Linked DNA regions of Lonchura striata. The protein of the gene in region 2 binds, or shares a complex with, the protein of the main gene of each other region. Links are inferred from orthologs where the notes say so. Each region holds a gene or a part of one and is shown on either strand. Other genes may lie near its edges. The genes, in order: NPPC and NPR3.

Region 1 (9,714 bases), on a different chromosome or scaffold from region 2:
AAAGCACACTAGGACAGATGCTGCCCTTGTCACGCTGCAGTCGATCCAGGGCTCGGCTGTTAACCATGGTGGGCTCATTTCCACGGGTGCCATTTGGGATCTGGGCATAGATGTGCTGCCCAAGGCTGTGTGCTCTCGCAGGGAGCTCAGCTGGGGTCTGCAGAGTCTTGCAGCGCCAGGCAGGATTCAGTCCATCAGAGCATCACAGGATTGGGCACAAGTTTACTTTTGCATATGGGATCAAAGCTTAAAATATCAGCTGGCCTTTCTCTCACTCCTGACTTTTCTAAAACATCTGAACAATTTCTTCTTGAGCTCTGCTAAAATCAATCAATCTGACATTTAAATTGTATGTGAATTTGATAAATAAAGACAGATTACAAAATGCCACACGGAATGATTTTTTTTAAAGTTTTTCAACTACTTAGGACAAAAAATGTTACAATGCTTGACTTTTCATTTAGTTACATAAATAATTTTTTATAAATATCTCTTTATAAACAATATATAAATAGCTTTACAACATAAATACATTTATGCATGACATGAATTTACAAACAGCAATGTTATACAGCTGGCTTCATCAGTCTCTTGGAAAAGCACTGTCCCTTGTCTCGCTGAGTGTTTGTATATATAATATATATAAGATAGAGAGCACTTGTTAAAAAAATAACAAAACCAAAACAGTTGGTGCCATAATTCCTCGTACCAAAAAGAAAAACACAACCACATCTTTTGTCCATTCCAAGGGGGTCTCTGCTTCTCTAGGTGTTGCCTGGGGATGTGCCTGGCCGTGCGTGGTAGGAAAAAGTGGACTACGGACTCAAAGCCCTGTGAGGAACAAGAACAAAGTGCCCATTAGTATTTGCCATGCAGCACCCCTTACCCATCCCCAGCCAAAACTCCTGCCCAAGTATCCATGGCCTGGGGCTGGGGGATGCTGGACTCAGCAGAAGCCATCCCTGAGCTTTTTGCTTGTGCTAAAGAAAGGAAGTGCACCCTTTGCTTTCTGGCTGGCGTTCAGGGGAGAGGCTGAGGGAAGCTGCTGCTCCTCCTGCCCTTGTGTTAGAGTTTTTTTTTTCCTTGTTCTGATGGGTTTAGTGAGAGAGGATGGGTGTGACCTGCCTACATGGGGTCTGTGTGTTCCTTGGGAGCCCTGAGCTAGCAATACTTGGCAATACTGAAGAGTTTCTAAATGAGGGAGGAGAGAAACAGCACCCATCCCTCCAGGACAGGCCATAGACCAGCACTGGCATCCTGTAGGCACCTTTGGGTTGTGCTATTCCCATTGCTCTGCAGAGCAGCAGGATGCTGGATCCAGTCCCTGCTGTGCCCAGTTATGCTACTGCAGGGCTGGACCATGGGAAGAAGAGCAAGTGGCCTGGGCTGCAGTGGTAAGTGCTTCCCGAAGTGTGAGTTCATCTGTGTGTGTCCTGCTGGCAGGGCCAGGCCAGAACCATACCTCACTGTCCCCAGCACCCGCAGGGAGACCTGGCAGGGGAGGCACTGCCATGTTTTTCCCAACCCATCACTCTGGGGAAGCCACTCCTTCACGCATTGGTTGCTGCACAGTGGCTGTGAAGCACTGTGGGAGGAACTTCTCCCAGCTTCCCATAACTTTCTCAGATACAAAACTGCAGTTAGGAAAGTGCTACTCATGGCTGTCACCACACCTAGAAGACACCTGAGGAACTTATGTGTTGTTTGTCCTTAAAAGCACTGGAGCATGGCTGAGACAGGAGCCTCACTAAACTCTCCAACTGCAGGCACACAGGGGGTACCCTGCCCTCCTAACACCTATCCATAGCTCACCTAAGTGTTTCAAGCAGAGAGGGCAACTAGAAACCTGTGGCTGCACCAGAGCTCCTCCTGCATCCTCCCCGGAGCCCAGGGATCTAGCTCAAATTAGGGGGAATCCAGATTGAACTGCTGCAGAAGCAGCTGAGGTCTCTGACCCTTCTGCAGGGTAAGGCAGAGAGAGGGCCGGTGGATTCCGGACGGGAATGTAATAAGGCCAGCTTTGGGGTCCTCCTCTTTACCTGCCAGCAAAGCCAGAGGTTGCGAGGCTCAGCGGGACGAACACCTGCAGTCCCGTGCGCTGGCATCTCGCGTTCGCAGGGCAGCGCATCTTCCGCACGCCCCGCGGTACCGGAGCGCGGCCCCCGGCCCATCCCGGCCCCGGCCCGGCCCGGCCGCGCACTCACCGCCAGGGGTCCCTCAGCATCCGAGGCCGCTCATGGCGCCGATGCGATCCAGCTTGAGCCCGAAGCAGCCCTTGCCCAGGCCCTTCTTGTGGAGGCCCTTGTGGCGGCGGCCCGGCGGGTCCTGCAGCAGCCGCGCCCAGCCCGCCCGCGACCGCGCTTCGGCCCGCGCCTCCCGCGCCTCCCGCGGGCCCGAGCCGCCGCCGCCGCTCCGCTCCTTCTCCCGCTCCTTCTCCCGCTCCTTCTCCCGCTCCTTCTCCCGCTCCTTCTCCCGCTCCGCCGCCTCGGGCGGACCCGCTGCCGCCGCCGCCGCCGCCGCTGCCGCCGCTGACCCGCGGGAGGCCTGTGGGGGGGAGAGGGTCAGAGCTGCCGTCCCCAGCGATCCCCATGAGAGTTGGGGACCCCCTGTAAGGGACGCGCAGAGGGGTCGGTGTATCCCCCCTGCGATGCAAACTCGCGATTGGGTCTGTGCCCGGCAGTGCAGTCCATCACCCCGCTCTGGCTGTGGCCAGAGCATTTTCTCCCCTCCCTAAATCTGTGCTCCCTTCCCTGGGGTCAGAGCATCCCCCTGACCCACACCGTAGCGGTGTCTTCCTGTCCCGGTCATTGCATATCCACACCACCCCTCCAAAGGGCTGGTGGTGCTGCACACCTCAGCTGCGCTTCTGTCACTATCCTGTCGTCCCATTCCATCCCGTCCTCCCCCAACCCATTATCTGAAGGGACCTGAAAGCCGGCAGGTCCTTTCATTTCAGACCCCCTCGGTCATTGCATCCCTCATCAGTTTACACCAGTTTACAGACCTCTTCAGATTATGGGGAGGGGTCCTGCCCCACAGATCCTGTGCACCACTGCAGACTGTCCCCAGCAGTGGTGGGGAGATCAGGGTTCCTCCTCCCTGCTGCTCCCTCCCCTAGTTAATGCTCTCTGTGTCCTCCCAATCCTCCAATTCTAACCTACAATAAGAGGGACACACCTCCTCCACACTGCTCCCCCATCTCCCAGGCCTTCCATCTCTCTCCCTGCTCAGAGCTGCTGCCCACCAAGCCATGGAAATGTTAATCCTCATTCATTTTCCCAACATCCCCCTGTATCAACACTTTTTCTTCAGCCTGCACCCCAGTGCCTTACAGGGACACTGCCACTCCCATCCCACTGCTGCCCTGGGGCACTCGTCAGACCGTGTCTCCATCTCTGTGCCAGACCTCAGGGCAGTACCACCCAGTACAGTAGTACTGGGTGCCTCGGGCACATCCCTCGTCCTCAGCATCTCGAGAAAACCAAATCCCTGGGACACTCTCATTTGGGGCGCCCCTTCCTCATGGGACACGCGGGGAAGGGACACCCACCTCTGTGCCCCTGCCCGGCCTGTTTGGTCAGGACTGCCCGGCGGGCTCTGCTCTCGCACCCTGTCCCACCGTGCACCTGCTGCCTGCCCCGCTCCGGCTCTGCTCCCTCCCCCGTGCCCGGCACAGAGGGGTCTCCAGAGTGACTCCGGGGGCACACTGCCGCCTCCCCTGCCCCGATCCCGCGGGCTGCGGGGCACACCGCGTCCCACTCAGCCTCTGGTATGGGGCGACGTCCCCGGACGTTCGGGACAGCCTGGAGAAGCAGGGAGTCCCCCTTGCAGTCAAACAGCCCATGCGGAGAGAAGAACCCCTCTTTGCACTGACTCTGGCACCCCACAGGCACCCCACGTTTCCCCCTGTGCCGTTAGGACTCTGAGCGGGACCGGGAGAGGAGGAAGAGCCGGAGAAAGCTCCAGCCGTACCTTCTGTGGGAGCTGAGACGCCGGCTTCGCCTCCAGCCTGAGGGAGAGCAGCGCGAGTAAAAGTCCACCAGCCAGCAAGGGTGAGATCTGCATCCTGCGGGGCCGAGCGGCAGGGGGGTCGGGGGGGGCAGCGGGGAGCCGAGGGCAGCCCCGGGGAGAGGACGGGACCGACGGGAGTCAAAGTTCAGAGCGGAGCCCCGAGGTCCCTCCTGCCGCCTGCGAAGTGCCGAGCTAGTGAACTTGGGCTGCTTTCTGCTTCATTCATTTTATAACCCAACCTGCTCGGTGATGTCATCTAAATACCCAGGTCCAACCCGGTCTGCACTCCACAATAGCAGGAATTTAAAGGGGGGGGGTGGTGGTATCCCCTCTCCCCTGGCAGTAACAAATGACACAAGACAACCAGCTCCGGGAGCTGGAGACCCGAAAGGGAAAGCGGGGGGCATTTGGCTTGATGCCCCCGCCCTCCCCCAGACGCCCCCGGCCCCCCTGCAAGCTGTCTGCCCTCCCCTTGCCGGCTGCCCCACCGCCCCTCTGCTCCCCGCACTGCCCTGCTGACCTCCCGCGGCAGAACACGGGCCGGGCGGGGGGGGGTGGTCCCGGTGCGGGATTCATCCCAAAAAACAGGAATAAGCACCTTTTTTTTTTTTTTTTTTTTTTTTTTTTCTTCCCACATCCAGGATTAGATCAGACTGTGCCTCCCAGGTCTCTACTTGGCAGGAGCAGGGCCACTGCCTTCTGTGACAGGAATATGGGGGACACAAAGAGATGGAGGGTACAATGGTGCTTCTTGAGGGCACCTCAGTGGGTCTCTTGGCTCCGGGACTGACCTGCTCTCTCTGCTTCTGGGGGATCTTGATGGTGTTCCTGGCCCTGGAGATGGGGCTTTTCAAGCACCCTGGGGATGCAGGGTATAGTTAGTGTCACAGGGTCCCTTGTGGGGACAGGACCTCACTGGCTGACCCATGTCAGGGCTGTGCAGCCTGGCCTCCCTCTGACCTGCTCCCAGAGCTAGAGGTTACAGGAGAAAGGTGTGATCCTGGGATTAACCCCAGGAGTTCACAGGGCCTTTGAGGAGGCCCCTTGCTCTCAGCCTTCCCCTTTCCTGGCTGGCAGAGCAGGATTTGTGTCTCTGCTGCTGCTGGGGCTGGCACTGGGCAGCTCTGGAGCTCTGCTGGCTTTTTGCTGATGGAGCTGAGCACCATCTCCGGCCCCCTGTCCAGGGAAAATTCTCTTCTTGGCATGAGGGCAGAGGAAAGACACCCCTTTCTTTGCAGGAGCATCCACGGCTGAATTGCATTAAGCTGGATTTGTACCCCAAATCCCTTCCCTGAGACCAGGGAAACATTCTCTGCCCTTTCCCCTGTCCCTGGAGTCTGTTTCAGTCTGGTCCTTTCCTCCTGCTTTGTATCCTGGTCTTTCTTGGCTCTGCTGCTCCACAAATCTCTGGGAAGCTGCCCCTGCTGTGGGACCATGGCTCTTTGGGGGGCCGTAGTACCCCTGCTCAGGAGCAGGGAGATGTTTCCTCCTCCACAGCCCGGCTACTGGGCACGGGACACTTCAAACGAGATTGGCTCTTCAGCTCCATGTGAACGGGAGCTGGAAGGAGAAGGTCTCTGTGTTTTTTCCATTGCGCCTGCCAGGTGGAGACAACTTGGACTTTTTTGAGTGTGAAGCTGTGCTTGGGCATTTGTCTGCGTGCAGGCAGAGTGAAGTGATGGAGTCGGGATTAGAGCCGACCCCGGGTGCCAGAGAGCCGTGGGTGCAGGCAAGGAGCAGAGAGAGGCCCCTTCTCTCGGGGTTTAGTCCTTGTCCCACACGAAGTGGAGCTGGAATGTGGCAGCCAGCCTCACCAGGGTGCAAGGAATGGGGCGCTCTGCACCACTGCCCCCATCAGCAGGCTTCTGCAGGGAAAAGGGGAGCAGCAGCTGAGCCCTGGGTCTCCACAGGATGAGAGATGACATCTCTGCGGGGATCTCGGGGTGCCCGAGGCCACCAGCAGCTCAGCAACCCCCACAGAATCCTGCCATCACCGTTCTGCTTGCACTGGCTCCTGCCCTGGTGCTCTGGGCAGCCTGTCCCTTGGCTTCTCCCGGTGCACCCGGGACGGGGACAGAGACGAGGCAGATGGCTGCGGAGAAATGTCACAGTGTGGGCAGGAAGGGCCGCCTCGTTTGCCACCAGCCCCCTCGCAGGCTGCAGTTCACGGGGTCGGTGCCAGAGCTGCTCCAGCAGCCCCTCGCCCCGGAGGATTCGAGCATCGCCACAAACGCCACAAGGCGCTCAGGTCTCAGCCAGTGCCTGCCCGCAGGAGGCTCTTCCCGGCCCTCGGCTCTCTAGCGTGGTTTTCATTAGTGTGTTTTCTTTGTCACACTGTGCAGAGCCTCGGGTTTGGGGGGGGGAGAGGAGGGGCTGTGTTTTATAAATCCAATTAGCCTTGTTATTCAAATTACTCTGCCGAAGTCAGAGCCGGGCGCACACAAAGACTTAACTCAAACCAGATCGGATCCGCTGGGATGGCAAAAGCTCAGAGCTGGAGCAGGAGTGTGTAGGAAGGGGTTAAGAATGTGAAACCCTTTTGCTTGGTGGGGTGGGGGCCTGAAAGCTTTTAACCCTTAAAGGGATGGACCTTCATTAGTGCGCAGCCCTGTGGGATGATCACCCAGGATGAGAATTCAGGGCATGCGTGGAAAATGAGAAGTGGAGACATAAGGCTGGGCTCACAGGGGTCTTCCCCAGGCACTGGAGAGCAAAGAGGATCCTAAACAGCTGCACGAGGAGGGATGGAGACCTGTGGGGTGGGCTGGAGAGGGTGACACCCCTCCCCATTTCACCCAGGGGCGCAAAAAGAGCCAAGAGGAGAGAGGGGCACCAGGGCTGGCCTGTCCCTGAGAAATACCAGCGTCGAACCTGAATTATGGGGAATGGGCTGCTGTGGAGATGCTGCTGAATCTTAGCAAAGTGGGATGAGCCCTGAGTATGGGGACTTCTGGTATGTAGGGAATAGGGAAGGGAGCAGAGACTGTGTTGTATGTGTGAGAGGGCACCCATGTCCCCTGTCTGAGGATGGAGAGGGATTCATCAAAATGTGACCAGTGCCAGCATGATTTGGAGAGTGGGAGGAGATGGGTCATGGGGATCTGTGTGACAGCAGCATGGAGTGTTCTGGCCCCATCACAAGGAAGGGGTGAGTGATGCCAGCACTGAGGATGCATCCAGCTGGGCAGCAGTGGGGCCCTGGCTCTCCTGGCTGAAATTAGGAGCCAGGTTCCAGGCACCTTCTAGAGGATGATGTCAAGAAGGTTCACAGGATAGAAATGTGGACTCAAGTCGGAAGTAAGCTGCTACTGTAGCAGTGAACAGCCAGTGATTCATCTCCTTTCTCTTCAACTCAGTTATCCTTAGGGAACATGTTTCTTATTGATTTGGGAAATCACTGGCCAGATTTATGTCTCTTCTGCTACCTTCTGCCAGGAGAGCATTTCCTGACCAAGAGATGGATAACCCTAGGGTGAGGATTTTCAGCTGATGCCATGTGAAAGCCAATCATCCCTTTGCAAAAAGAGACATCAGAAGGCAGAGTGCATGTGATGGTGATGCAGAGGGGCTGATGCTTTCCCACAACCAGTGGCCAACCCAAGTTGTTTTTGGTTAAGAACCATCCCAGATGGTGGGACAGAGAAGGTACAAAGATGGAGCAGCTGTTAAGATAAGGGAGCTACTTGACCCCCAGCACAGCCACCAACTACCAGTCCTCAGGAATATGATGTGTTCAACAAGAGAATGTCACCAAGAGTTTGATGTGCTGAAATAAGAGTTTTTAACAGTTGGTTTTCTTCTTTTTACAGATTTTAGAGTACCTCTCTAGGGGTCTGATGATAGCCAACTCAGTGAGAAGCAGTTTGAAGAGAGATTTCAATTTTGATTATTGGGATGGATGAGCAGCCTCTGGTGCATGCAGGGGACTATCTGGTCCCACCTCTGTGATGATGTTCCTCCTGAGGATGCTTTAAAGAAAGGTTTTCTGGGGAATAACTCTGTAGCCCCTGAGGCAAGAACACTGCCCAGCAGCTCAGACCTGGCCATTACAAGTCCACAGCCCCAGTAGCCACCAGGTGGTCACAGGGATGGGGGAGCTCCATACACTGGGGTGTGATGCTCCTGGGGTGCTCTCTGAACCCCTGATGGAGATTTTGGCCTGTTTGAACATTCCTGGTGTTTGTTTTGGATGCTGCTGCTGTTGAATGAGACATTGCAGGAAACACTACAGGATTTTGCACTTTCCCCTGTCTCCTTTGGGTCGGGAAGAGGGCTCTGCCTGAGGATACAGGCATGGCCAATACCCCCTCTCCTCAAACTGGGATGGTGATGGGGAGACAGCCAACAGAGCTGCCCTGATGGGGCAGGCAAGAATGGGGCTGCATGTGCTGCAAAAGCCTTAAGTTTAAAGACCAAGACGGTTTCTCTGTCCCCTCCCAAAACCTCCCAGAGTGGCAAAGCTGAGGAGAAGAGGACAAGCCCCAAACAGAGACTCACAGGTCTTTGCTAGTGAAGTGCTGATATTCTGACAGGCACAGTGTGTTTTTCCCCCAGGGCTTTGCCTTTTGGGATCTGCCATTTTTTCCTGGGCTTCCTAGGATACTACAGTCTTCTCCTGACATTCTGGATATTTTTTCCAAGGCTACAAGGGGATATCTGTGCTCTGGAGCTCGGATGCCTCACTGCTCTGGTGGGAGCAGGAACACAATGTCTCAGGGTTTTGTTGAATGTCAATAAAATGAAGCAATTCTAACGCACGGGTGACTCCACACCACGAGCCTCCCTCTGCATCAGTCCTCAGAGGATATGAATTGCACTGCTTCCAGCTCCTGGCAGCCTCAGGTCTGCAGCTGATGTAGGGACAGGTTGTTGGGATTTTCCAAGCTAAATGCCACAGTCATCTTTGTTCTCTTTTTTTCAGATGTCTTCCCCATAAAATGGGGGTCTGGCAGTGTTTCACCCACAGCTTTGGGGTCCCAACATCATCCCAGGCTTGTTGATTTTGGCACTGAGCATCCCTTTGGGAATAGGAACTGCCCAAAGGTGTGATGGCCCAGAAAGGCAAAAGGATGAGCTATTAATATCACATTCATCCCTGCAGGGAGCCATGCCATGTGCAGATCCTGAGAAGAGATCCAACAGGCTTTTGGGGACCCCCAGCCTGTATCCAGGGAATCTCCATCACAGCGGTGGAGCCAGATGCCACCAGTGCCTCGGGGGATGGATGTCTGTGCCCTCCTGTGCTCGTGCACAACCAGGCCAGGTGAGCAGGTCCTCACTAGCCCCACGGCTCTGTCAGCAGCATGTCCTGGCTTGGCAGGAGCCTCTTCCACCTGGTTTGGCTGTGCAAACCCCTGTCACCCTCGAAAAAGCCATCAGCAGCAGCTCCCTTGCAGCCCCCCTGCCAGATACAAACACCCTCCAGCTCCTCTGAACTGGCTTCCTGGGAACCCACTGCAGGTGGTGGGAAGTCCCTTCGGCATCAGTTCTTCAGGAAAAAACTTCTGGGCTTCCTGAGTGTCACCTGGGAGCCCCTGGATGTGGGAAACCCCAGGAGAGTGTTGGGAGGCAGAAAGCCAAATGCGTTGGTCTTGGCAGTGCTGGTGGTCAAGCCTTTGACCTCCTAAATGAAAATGATCCCAGAGTGATCCCACTAAAGCCAAGTTTGGGCTTTTTGCCTCTTTTTATTCTTTTTAGGAGGGA
Region 2 (9,414 bases):
CAAGGCTGAAGACAAAAATAATTAAACCCCAATATTTTCTGTCCTTTTTTAATGTGAAAACTGTTGGGAAAATTTAAGAGGAAAAAGGAAGTGAATAATTGCTTACTTCTTCAGAAAGATGTCTAATTCCTGCTAACATTTCCACCACTGCATGTGTTTGCTCTTTCTGTCTGCTTTGGCAGCAAAAGACATAAGGATTTTTTATAATACATGGAATGCTTATGTCCTTTTGATCTTAGTTTACAAGAGTACATGCAGGAGAATGAGCTAAATATTTTCAAGCAGGTTTTTTGTCTGCATATGTGTGATAAAAGCACTTATGCTGTCAGAAAGAGCAAAATATAAAACCAATGGAAAGAACAAGCAGGGTCTTAAGAAATACATTACAAACTGCACATAAAGAATATATCACTTTCCAGAGGTCTCTGTTATCAGTGTACAAATAGAAGCAAAACTTCCAAAAGGCTTTTATCTCTTTGTGCACAGCATGAGGATACCTCCATTTCCTCCTGCTCTGTTTCTGGCAGAAGTGATCATTGCTGAGTTCCTGCCTTTTACCAGGAACTAGAACTTGTCAAGCACTGTTCGCTTTATTTTTTGAGCCCTTATCCATCTCGGTATAATTAAATTATATTACCTAGTGTGTGAAATGGCCAGTTTGCCATTAATTGTAAAGTCTCCTTTTTAAATTTGCTTTGTTGCATCTCTTTTCTTGACTGTTGACATTCCTCTCTGCTCTGTACTTTGTCTTCCTCCACCAACTCATCTGTTCTTGGTTGGAGCTTTTGTCCTCACTCAGTAATCTCATTTGTTCCTATTCCTGTGATGTGATGACATATGAAAACTGTCTCTTCTGCCAAGTCCATATATTAATTTTTTTAAACCACATTAGTGCTTTAATAAACTGGAAGTTACAGAACTCATGAAGTACAAGTTTATTTAACAGAATTTATTTTAATTTAATTAAATATTTAAAATATTTTTGTATCAGCTCAGTGGAATAAGATTTGTCAATAGTATTAAAAATGTTTTTTCCATGCATTCCCTGTAATTTAATAATTAATTAACATGCAAGAGAAAATACATACAGAGATCTCAGCACTAGTTTTCACTAAGGAGTTCCTGTCTCTCATCTCTGGCATCTTGCTGTTGTTTCAGATCTTTTGCTCTGCTGTGCCAACACAACCACATCAATGAGCTGATTTAGTTAAAAAAATATTCCACATTTTGCCTCAGAATACTTCTAAAGATCAATCAGTTTCTGGGACAATATTACTGCGTAAACTGACACATCCTGCAGAGCTGAGTATCCAGACAAAGCATAGATGTCTGGTTTCTTTACACTGTGAGACTTCTATTCCTCTTTTATGGGAATACACGTGAAAGAATATTTTGGAATAGTTCCTGACTTGAGATTGCACATGACAGCAGTGCAGCTTCTTGGTTGTCCATGCTATGGGATGTCTGATCCCAACTCTCTTTTTGAGGCACAGTGATAGTATTCCTAACTATTTTTTTACAAGCAATATGGGTATGTATTGTAGGGTTACTAGATCTCAAGAAGAAAAGATCTTTGCTCTCCAAAGCCCTTAAAATCCTCTGGACAGAAATGCCATTATATTGGTAAAGTACGGGTGGTGTTTGCATTTCACCAATCACTCTTTATTTCACACTATGATACAACTGTTTGACGGAGGCAGATGCACATGAGGAACAAGGTGGCCACCATCCTGTGCACTCCAGTGACCATCCAGTCACTGACCTATCTAAGATATGGAAATGAAAACAAAAATGAAAATCACAGGAACAACTTGGATCCAAAGCAATTTAGTTTAGTTAGATCCTCCTAATTTAGTTTAGTTAGCAAAAAATGTCTGTTCTGTACCCTGACATTATTATATCCAGCTGTGTCTAAATACAGAAATCGGTTGCCAAACAAAGAGAATATTTTCTAACATAGTCCCATCAGAAGAGGAAAGTGAGTTTAGCAGAGAGTCAGTATGACTCAAGGTAATGTATAAGGTTATACTGTTAAAAAGAATGCACTAGTTGCATTTTTAATATTTCTATCCTTACTACAAATACTTGTAAAATAGGTAGTGTAGGTGTACTTTTTTAAACTGAAAATAATTGCAAAACCATCTTTCTTAGAAATAAAAGTTATCTGGAAGGTTGTGATGTCAACTTCTCACTATTATGTTCTTTCACACCCTTCAGTGGAAACACAATTGTGCTGTAAAACATTAATGCAACTAGTCTTTGCTGTGTACAAAGCTGCATTTTTTCCCATGTTGCAAGTTGTTTGGAGTGGCAGGCTGCAGAAAAGAAGTATTGTTTCTCCTTAAACATTCATGACAAGAAGTTTAATCTTTATGGAACAAAAAAGAGTGAGGGCCAGTCTTTTTCACCTTATCATCTCATTAATAATATAAAAATGACATCTACCTGCCTGCCTTTACTTTCTGCTGTGAAGTGGAAGCTGTTCAGATAGCAACAGCAGCAAAGTGTTATTATTATGTATGTGTGTATATATATATATATATATATATATATATATATATATATATGTATACATGTACTTCAATTTTTGTGCGCACTTTTGTGACCTTGGGTTCTTGTATCTCCAGAGAAGTTGGTGTAACTTACAAGGGGGAAAAAATCACATTTCCATCTATTTTTCTAGCATCAGATTGGCTCATCTTGGGTTTTCATGCTGTAGTATTTTCACCTCAAAACCATGCTGATTTTTATACATAACAGAAGTATATGAAGGTAAGGTCACAGAACACAAAAAGAGACACAAGATGCATCATGATACATTTAGAAATCTTTTCGGTATATTCCAAAGGAGTACAGATTCCTTAAAATAAGAAGATAATTCAAGATTGCTTGAAAAACAGGGGAAGAGTTTGCAAGTCTGAATAATCTAGGCAGGGTATATTTGCACAGGCGTTTCATCTTTTCAGCCTGTAGGTGGGACTGTGTTTTCAGCAAACCCATCTGTGAAAAAAAAAATCTGAATTGGCATCAGGCAGCTCAGGCTGTTGCTAATGCTGGCTGGAGTGAGTCAAGTGATTCTTGACTTGTATTTGAGTTATTTCTGGGGAGAAAATGGCCTGTGTCCGAAATTACTTTAGTCCTTAATGGGCTATTCTGAAATATCTGTTCTCACTGCAGTCAGTGGGCATTCTGCCTGCTACAGATCTGCAACTGCAGATTTGTTCCTATTAAAAAGCATTTATGTAGCTGAAAAAAAAAGTCTGTGGAGAAATGTTGAATTTATAGCTATGGAAAATACTGTAAGTGAACTGATGATGGTGTAGTAAGTGACATTTTGAATTGGGATTAACAAGTAAATTCTCATGCATAACTTCTTGGCTCAGAAAAAATAAGTCCATCACAGGCTGGGCTTCTTTTTTACAAAAACACTTAGGGTAAAAGGGAAGAGAAATGTTTATAGCACTCTAGGCCCACAGAGACACTGACTCCCATAACAGTGAATGCAGTTACTCAGGTGAGTAAGAACCACATACTATGGGCCAAATGTTATTATGAAAACACTGAAATTGGACTCTGACGCTACTACTGCTACACAGTACTGGCTAGATGCCTTGTGTTTCTTGTTTTGCCTCATGCTGGCCCTATTTCTCCCACTCTTATTCATTCCCAACAGTACTTTACCTCACAAGGAGCAACCCGTGTAAAGGGGCAGCAGCCCTGTCATTTATGGGGTTACTATCTCTTCTGTTGTGTTTACACAGCTTACGTTGAAATAAGACAGCTAGGAGAGTATAGAGCTCACATGTAAAATATATTCTGCTGAAGGAAGAAGGAAATCATGAGAGATCCTACCAGATTTTGGTGCTGTAAACACATGTGTTGGGTCACCATAAAGTAATCACTACAAAGGTCAGCATTTCAAAATGTGTCTTAAGAAAATGTTTTTGCTAGCTTTGTGGTAAAGATGGCTGGTGTGTTGTATATTGTAACATTCTGCTTAATCTCCTCTATGTTATACAGAGTCATTTCCAACAAAAAATGCCTGACATAACTTACAGCACAGGAACACACAAAACCAGCTTCACCAGGGTGGCTGTTTATGTAATCTTCAAGAACACTCTGAAGTTTGATTCAGTAATCAAATAAAACTATGAGAGGCATATTTCTGAGACACTACCCATCTTTAAATTTCTGAGCTTCTTTATTTTTCCGAACCTTGTTAGATAAATGTTGATGATTATTTCTGTACATCATGTTATCTGCTGTTTTCATTCCACTTCTTGGTTGTAATTGCACAAGTGCTTTGAGCTTTCTTTTTTTTTAATTGAGGCATCTTAAAGGTGAGCAGATGGTCACCACAGGAGTGCAGGTTTCCCATTCACAGCCTGCACAGCAAAGGCAAAAACAAAAGTTAAGTTTACACATACTGCCCTGACAACGACCTCTGTGCTGAACTAAACAAACCCCTTCTGTAAAGCCAGGAGCATTTCTCTCCCCTTTCGAACACAAACCTGGCACTCTCTAGAAACCATAAAAAATCAAACTGGGCAGCCCTGCGCTGGCTTTCAGGATGTGTGCTGCTGCAGGACACAAAATGCTCCAGGGTGCCATCCTTTAGGAGTTGCAGTCAAAAAGCATCAGGTGTTCCAAAGCCTCTTTCACAAAACAAACATCTTGCATATTTCACATCACTTTATGCCAGAAAAGGCTAACAAAATCTGAAGCATAGCAGTTTAAGGCCAGTGAGTAGAATTGAACGGGGATGATCTTAAGTCTAGGAAATGTTGTCGCAGTAGTTCCAAAGGTTCTTTTTTTCCCCAGTAAAATAATCTCAGACCTCTCCTTCACTGGGGTTAACCTCTGTTGCTTGGGGTGTGACACTGTGTCTCTCAAGGTAGTGGGAAATGACAAAGCCCGGCATCCAGACCTTCTTGTCACGGGGGACTCAGAAAGATTCCAAAGGGATACAGGTAGGGGCCACAGATCCACTGTCAGCTTCCCCGCAGGCTTATGCTGTGCATGGGCACCTTTCCGGGTTGAGGAGACGGGAGCAGGACGGCCCTGCTTGTGCTCTGCCACAGCGCCCGCCCGGCTGCTGCCTGCATCCCCTGGTGCTGATGCTGCAAGCCCTCCTTCCCGAAATCCCACAGCCCTGCCGAGCACTGAATCCCTGAGCCCTCGGGGTGCCTCAAAAGCCTTTCTTATGCAGCAGAGGACAGCTTAAGCAGGCTGGAACAACCCACAAAAAGTATTTAAGGAAAAAATGGAAGTGCAATTGCTCGCACGGGCCCGATTGCGGGGACTCGCTTGGCAAGGGAGGGCAGCAGCCGAGCGGGAAGGTAGGCGAAACACACACATCAGTGTTCGATGTACGCGATAAGGACACCTCCCGCGGGCCCGCGGAGGTGTGCGGGGCGGGGGGGCCGCAGGGAGGGGGCGGGCGGGAGGGAGAGGGCCGGCTCCTCCCTGCGCACAAACCCGGCCGCGCCGGGCCGGGCGTGCGGAGACGCCGCCGCCGCTCCCGCGCTACTTAAGCGGGGAGGGCGCAGCCCGGCAGCCCCGCGGGGGGATCCGGCGTGGGGGGGAAAGTGATCATAGTAGTAGTCGTTCATCTATAAGAGAACGAGAAAAGCAGAGCCGAGATGCTCCGTCCGTCCGCCAGCGGGGTGGGGAGGGGCAGGTTGTGAATCCGCCAAACACCTGAGAAATAAAGCACGACCGAACAATTTCGAGGCGGGCGGGGAAGGGGGGGACGAAAAGTTTGCCGGAGCTCGGGCGTCTCCGGGGGGGCGGGCGCGATGCCGCCCTGGCTGCTCGGCAGCCTCTGCTGCGTGCTGGCGGCGCGGGCGGCGCTGGGCAGCGGCCCCGCGGGCGAGGAGGAGGAGGAGAAGCTGATACGGGTGCTGGTGCTGCTACCGCAGGACGACGCCTACCTCTTCTCGCTGGGGCGGGTGCGGCCGGCCATCGAGTACGCGGTGCGGAGCCTGCGGGAGAGCGGCGCGGGTCTGCCGCCCGGCTACGCCTTCCAGCTCACCTACGAGGACTCGGCGTGCGGCAACCGCGCCCTGTTCAGCCTGGTGGACATGGTGGCCCTGCAGCGCCGCCGCCCCGACCTGCTGCTGGGGCCCGTGTGCGAGTACGCGGCGGCGCCGGTGGCGCGGCTGGCCGCGCACTGGGACGTGCCGATGCTGTCGGCGGGCGCGCTGGCCGCCGGCTTCGGCGCCAAGGGCGGCGAGTACTCGCACCTCACCCGCGTCGCGCCCGCCTACGCCAAGATGGGAGAGATGCTGCTGGCCCTTTTCCGCCACCACCAGTGGAACCGGGCCACGCTCCTCTACAGCGACAGCAACCCCGAGCGCAGCTGCTACTTCGCCATGGAGGGCGTCCATGTGGTCTTCCAGGAGGAGGCTTTCCACATGGCCGTGCACAGCTTCGACGAGACCAGCCGGCACCTCGACATCGACGACGTCGTCCGCGCCCTCCAGACGGGAGAGAGGGGTGAGTGGCGGCGGAGTGCCGGGCAGGGCTCCTCTGTGGCGGCCGGGGCGGTGGGAATCCCGCGGAGGGAAGGACCTGCGGACGGGGAAGAGTCACGGCTCGTCCCCGCCCGTGGGGAAACTCACTGCAGTGCTGCGACGGCAGCCCCGGGCCAGGCATACTCCGACGGATGGGAACAGCAGCCCTGAGTGAAAGCTCTGCCCACAGAGCTAGAGTTTGCCTCCCCACGGTGTAGAGAGCGGTTTGCCCTCGGGGACCACCTTTGGAGGGCTTTGTGGCATGGTAAGAAAACATCTTGCTGCTGGCAGTCTGGTTTACCCAAATTATCCACGTCTGCAGGGCAGCAAATCTGTTGCTTACTCTCTGAGATTTTTGCAGTGATACTATATAAGTTCAGGGACTAAACAAAGATGTTTTCCTCTCACCCCACTGTGCCTTGCAGCGGGAGATCTTTTCATGACTTCTGCCACTGGGAACCTCGTCGAGTAACTCAAATAACAGATTCATTTAGGGGAAATGGCAATTTCAGGGGATGTGTGCACGTGAAACACCTGAGTGCATGCCATGATATTGTCACCAAGTGATAGGAAGACACTGTGGAGATAAATGGCTTGTAAACATCTGAGACAGTCATGTCTGGGCTGGATGAACTGACTTTGCATCATGGAACAGCAAAGCAAAGTGCTTTGGAACATGCAGTTTTGTAGTTAGATGTTCTTTAAAGTGAGATCTTGCCTAGCAGTGTGTGGCTATATGAGCTTATCAGAAACACTTTTTCTGTTTGAGGGTTTTGCATGACTTACTGCAGAAGCCATAGGCTTCCTCAGTAAGTCATGCAAAAAGAAAATACGTAATCCAGAAGTGAACTGTAGGGTGAAGTTAAAGTTCTTAGGTATTTTCCAAGAAAGCCATGGATGTACAAAGCTCTTTGTACAATTCTTACATATCTTGTTGTAGAGTATTAAAATAGCACCAGAATTGGACAGATAAATATTATGCTGTGTGTGGCAGGCAGAACTGGTATTGTGGTGCTGTAGGCTGTGGATGGAGCAGCCTTGCACTGCTGATGTTACACTGCTGTGAAATAATTAACATGCCGGACTGTGTGAGATAACTGAGGTCTGACAGCATAGGGCTTTTAATTCCCTATTCACTGAAGTACATGCTTTAAATAGAGCTTTCCTTTTAAGTATCATTTGGGGAAATATAATGGATGGAGAGAAATAAATGTGTTAGTACTGGAGGAAACCACAGTGCGGGGAAAGATGCTTGTCAAATGTGTGTGTGGCTTTCCTGATGCTGAGAGCATTACAGCATGCTTACATCAGGAAAAGACAAGTGTTCACCCCAGCCCCACTCTTCACACCATGCTGACAGTCAGGGAGGAGAGCTTGCTTTCAGCCTGATCTGAATTGCTTTGTTGAGCTGAGACATTTGATCTTTCACAATTCTTCAACTTGCAACTGACTGAACAGAAGCAGCCCTCTTCTTTCTCCCCATTGTGGGGTCCCTCCTTCCATCTCACCTCTGTATTTGTTCTCTGACTCCTGCCACTCAAGTGGGGCCCTCCACCTTCCACTTGTGCCTTTTTGACTTTAAAGACTGACTGCAGGACTCACCTGGCAGATTCCTTTGGCCCTGCTGCTCATGGCATGTTTCAGGTTACCACAATATTTTAAGAGTTCTACACCACGTGGAGGGTGCACCAGATGAGGTCTGAAGATCAGTAGAAGTCTTTATTTGTTCTCAGGACTCACTGGAGATCCCCCCAGCAGGACAGCAGGACTTGTGGGCAGCAGCACACTGTCCAGAGCACTTTCTAGAAATATTTTTGCTTGGTTGGTTTCCAGTTTTTAATGAGTCCTGTGTCACACCTGCTGTGACCTCACTTTCTCTAGCTTTCAAAAACTGCTGCCGTTTGGTTCCCACCTGACTGGTCAGCCTTCACTGAGCTCCCTGACTAGGAGTAGGCTTTTGAGCAGATACAGGATTCTTCCTTGAGACTCTCCCAGAGCTGGGAAGAAACTGCCCCACCAGCTGTCCTGTGGGAAGCAGGACAGAGGTTGGCCCCAGAGGTTAGGTTGCTGCTGGCTGGGGGTTTTCACTGGCCTCTCTGATGCCTGAGAGGAAGAGGCACACTCAGCCATTCACCCCTGTGTGCCAGGGACTGCGAGTTCAGTCCCTGAGCCATGTGAAATGGCTGAAGTCTTGGAGCCACAAAAATTAATGATGAAAATGTGATCATTAAAATCAAGTACTTGTCTACAATTAGTTTTATTAGTAGTTCAGGCTTCCTTATAGGCTCAGGTAAGCCTGCTGCAGAGTCCATGTTGAAGGCTCAGGTTTACTGTACGGTTCATATATGTGGGCCTATGCTTTATGTATAAGCACACAGTCCAAGGGATGTGTGTAGCAAAGGGAATGCTTATTCCTTTAAACTGGAATGAAACTCCAAAGTGTTTTCAGGATGAATCAATAATCCTAGTCAATAAATTCAGCATGTTAGTATTAGAATTACTGTGTTCTGTGTGTATTATGGCGGAGAGAGAACATTTTGTATGGGTGTGCACATACACATTTGGTACAATGGTAAGGTACAGATGCAGATTAAATATATAATTTATATTTTTTTTGAAAGATTGTGAGAAACATATCCATAGATTATTTGCTTCAGAATCTTGAAATATGTCCTGCTGGGTTAGAAACCTCTTCCAAACAGTTAATATTACTTCTCTTACATTCCTTTAGAGGCTTACACAATACGATTTAATGTATGTTAAAGTAGTTCCCCACACACTCTTTTTCTTTTATTCCTTTTGCTCAATGTCTTTTATTGGTGTTGTGGGAATCCCTTTGATTCCATCTATGGATTACACTTTTATGATAGAAGTGCATTACAAAGGCAGAGTCAAGGAA

Evidence for each region.
Region 1: the proteins of NPR3 (region 2) and NPPC are in contact, whole or in part, in a crystal structure (PDB 1JDP), measured with the Homo sapiens proteins. The link is inferred for Lonchura striata from reciprocal best matches to the Homo sapiens genes NPR3 and NPPC. Residues at the interface, in NP_001191304.1 of Homo sapiens: Asn110, Tyr138, Ala141, Pro142, Arg145, Ala161, Gly163, Phe164, His166, Glu170, Tyr171, Tyr204, Lys208, Leu209, Arg211, Tyr214, Phe215, Leu217, Glu218, His221, Glu222, Gln225, Ile233; in NP_077720.1 of Homo sapiens: Gly109, Cys110, Phe111, Gly112, Leu113, Lys114, Leu115, Asp116, Arg117, Ile118, Gly119, Ser120, Met121, Ser122, Gly123, Leu124, Gly125, Cys126.

Annotation. Positions count from the first base shown.
Region 1 is NC_134612.1:18,240,778-18,250,491, forward strand, and holds NPPC (C-type natriuretic peptide), read right to left. Parts: upstream 4,095-9,714; 5' UTR 4,066-4,094; coding exon 3,973-4,065; exon of another isoform or gene 3,874-3,972; intron 2,545-3,873; coding exon 2,218-2,544; 3' UTR 2,205-2,217; intron 832-2,204; 3' UTR 386-831; downstream 1-385.
Region 2 is NC_134642.1:38,646,728-38,656,141, forward strand, and holds the start of NPR3 (atrial natriuretic peptide receptor 3), read left to right. Parts: upstream 1-5,798; coding exon 5,799-6,498; intron 6,499-9,414. UniProt on the Homo sapiens protein: Receptor for the natriuretic peptide hormones, binding with similar affinities atrial natriuretic peptide NPPA/ANP, brain natriuretic peptide NPPB/BNP, and C-type natriuretic peptide NPPC/CNP.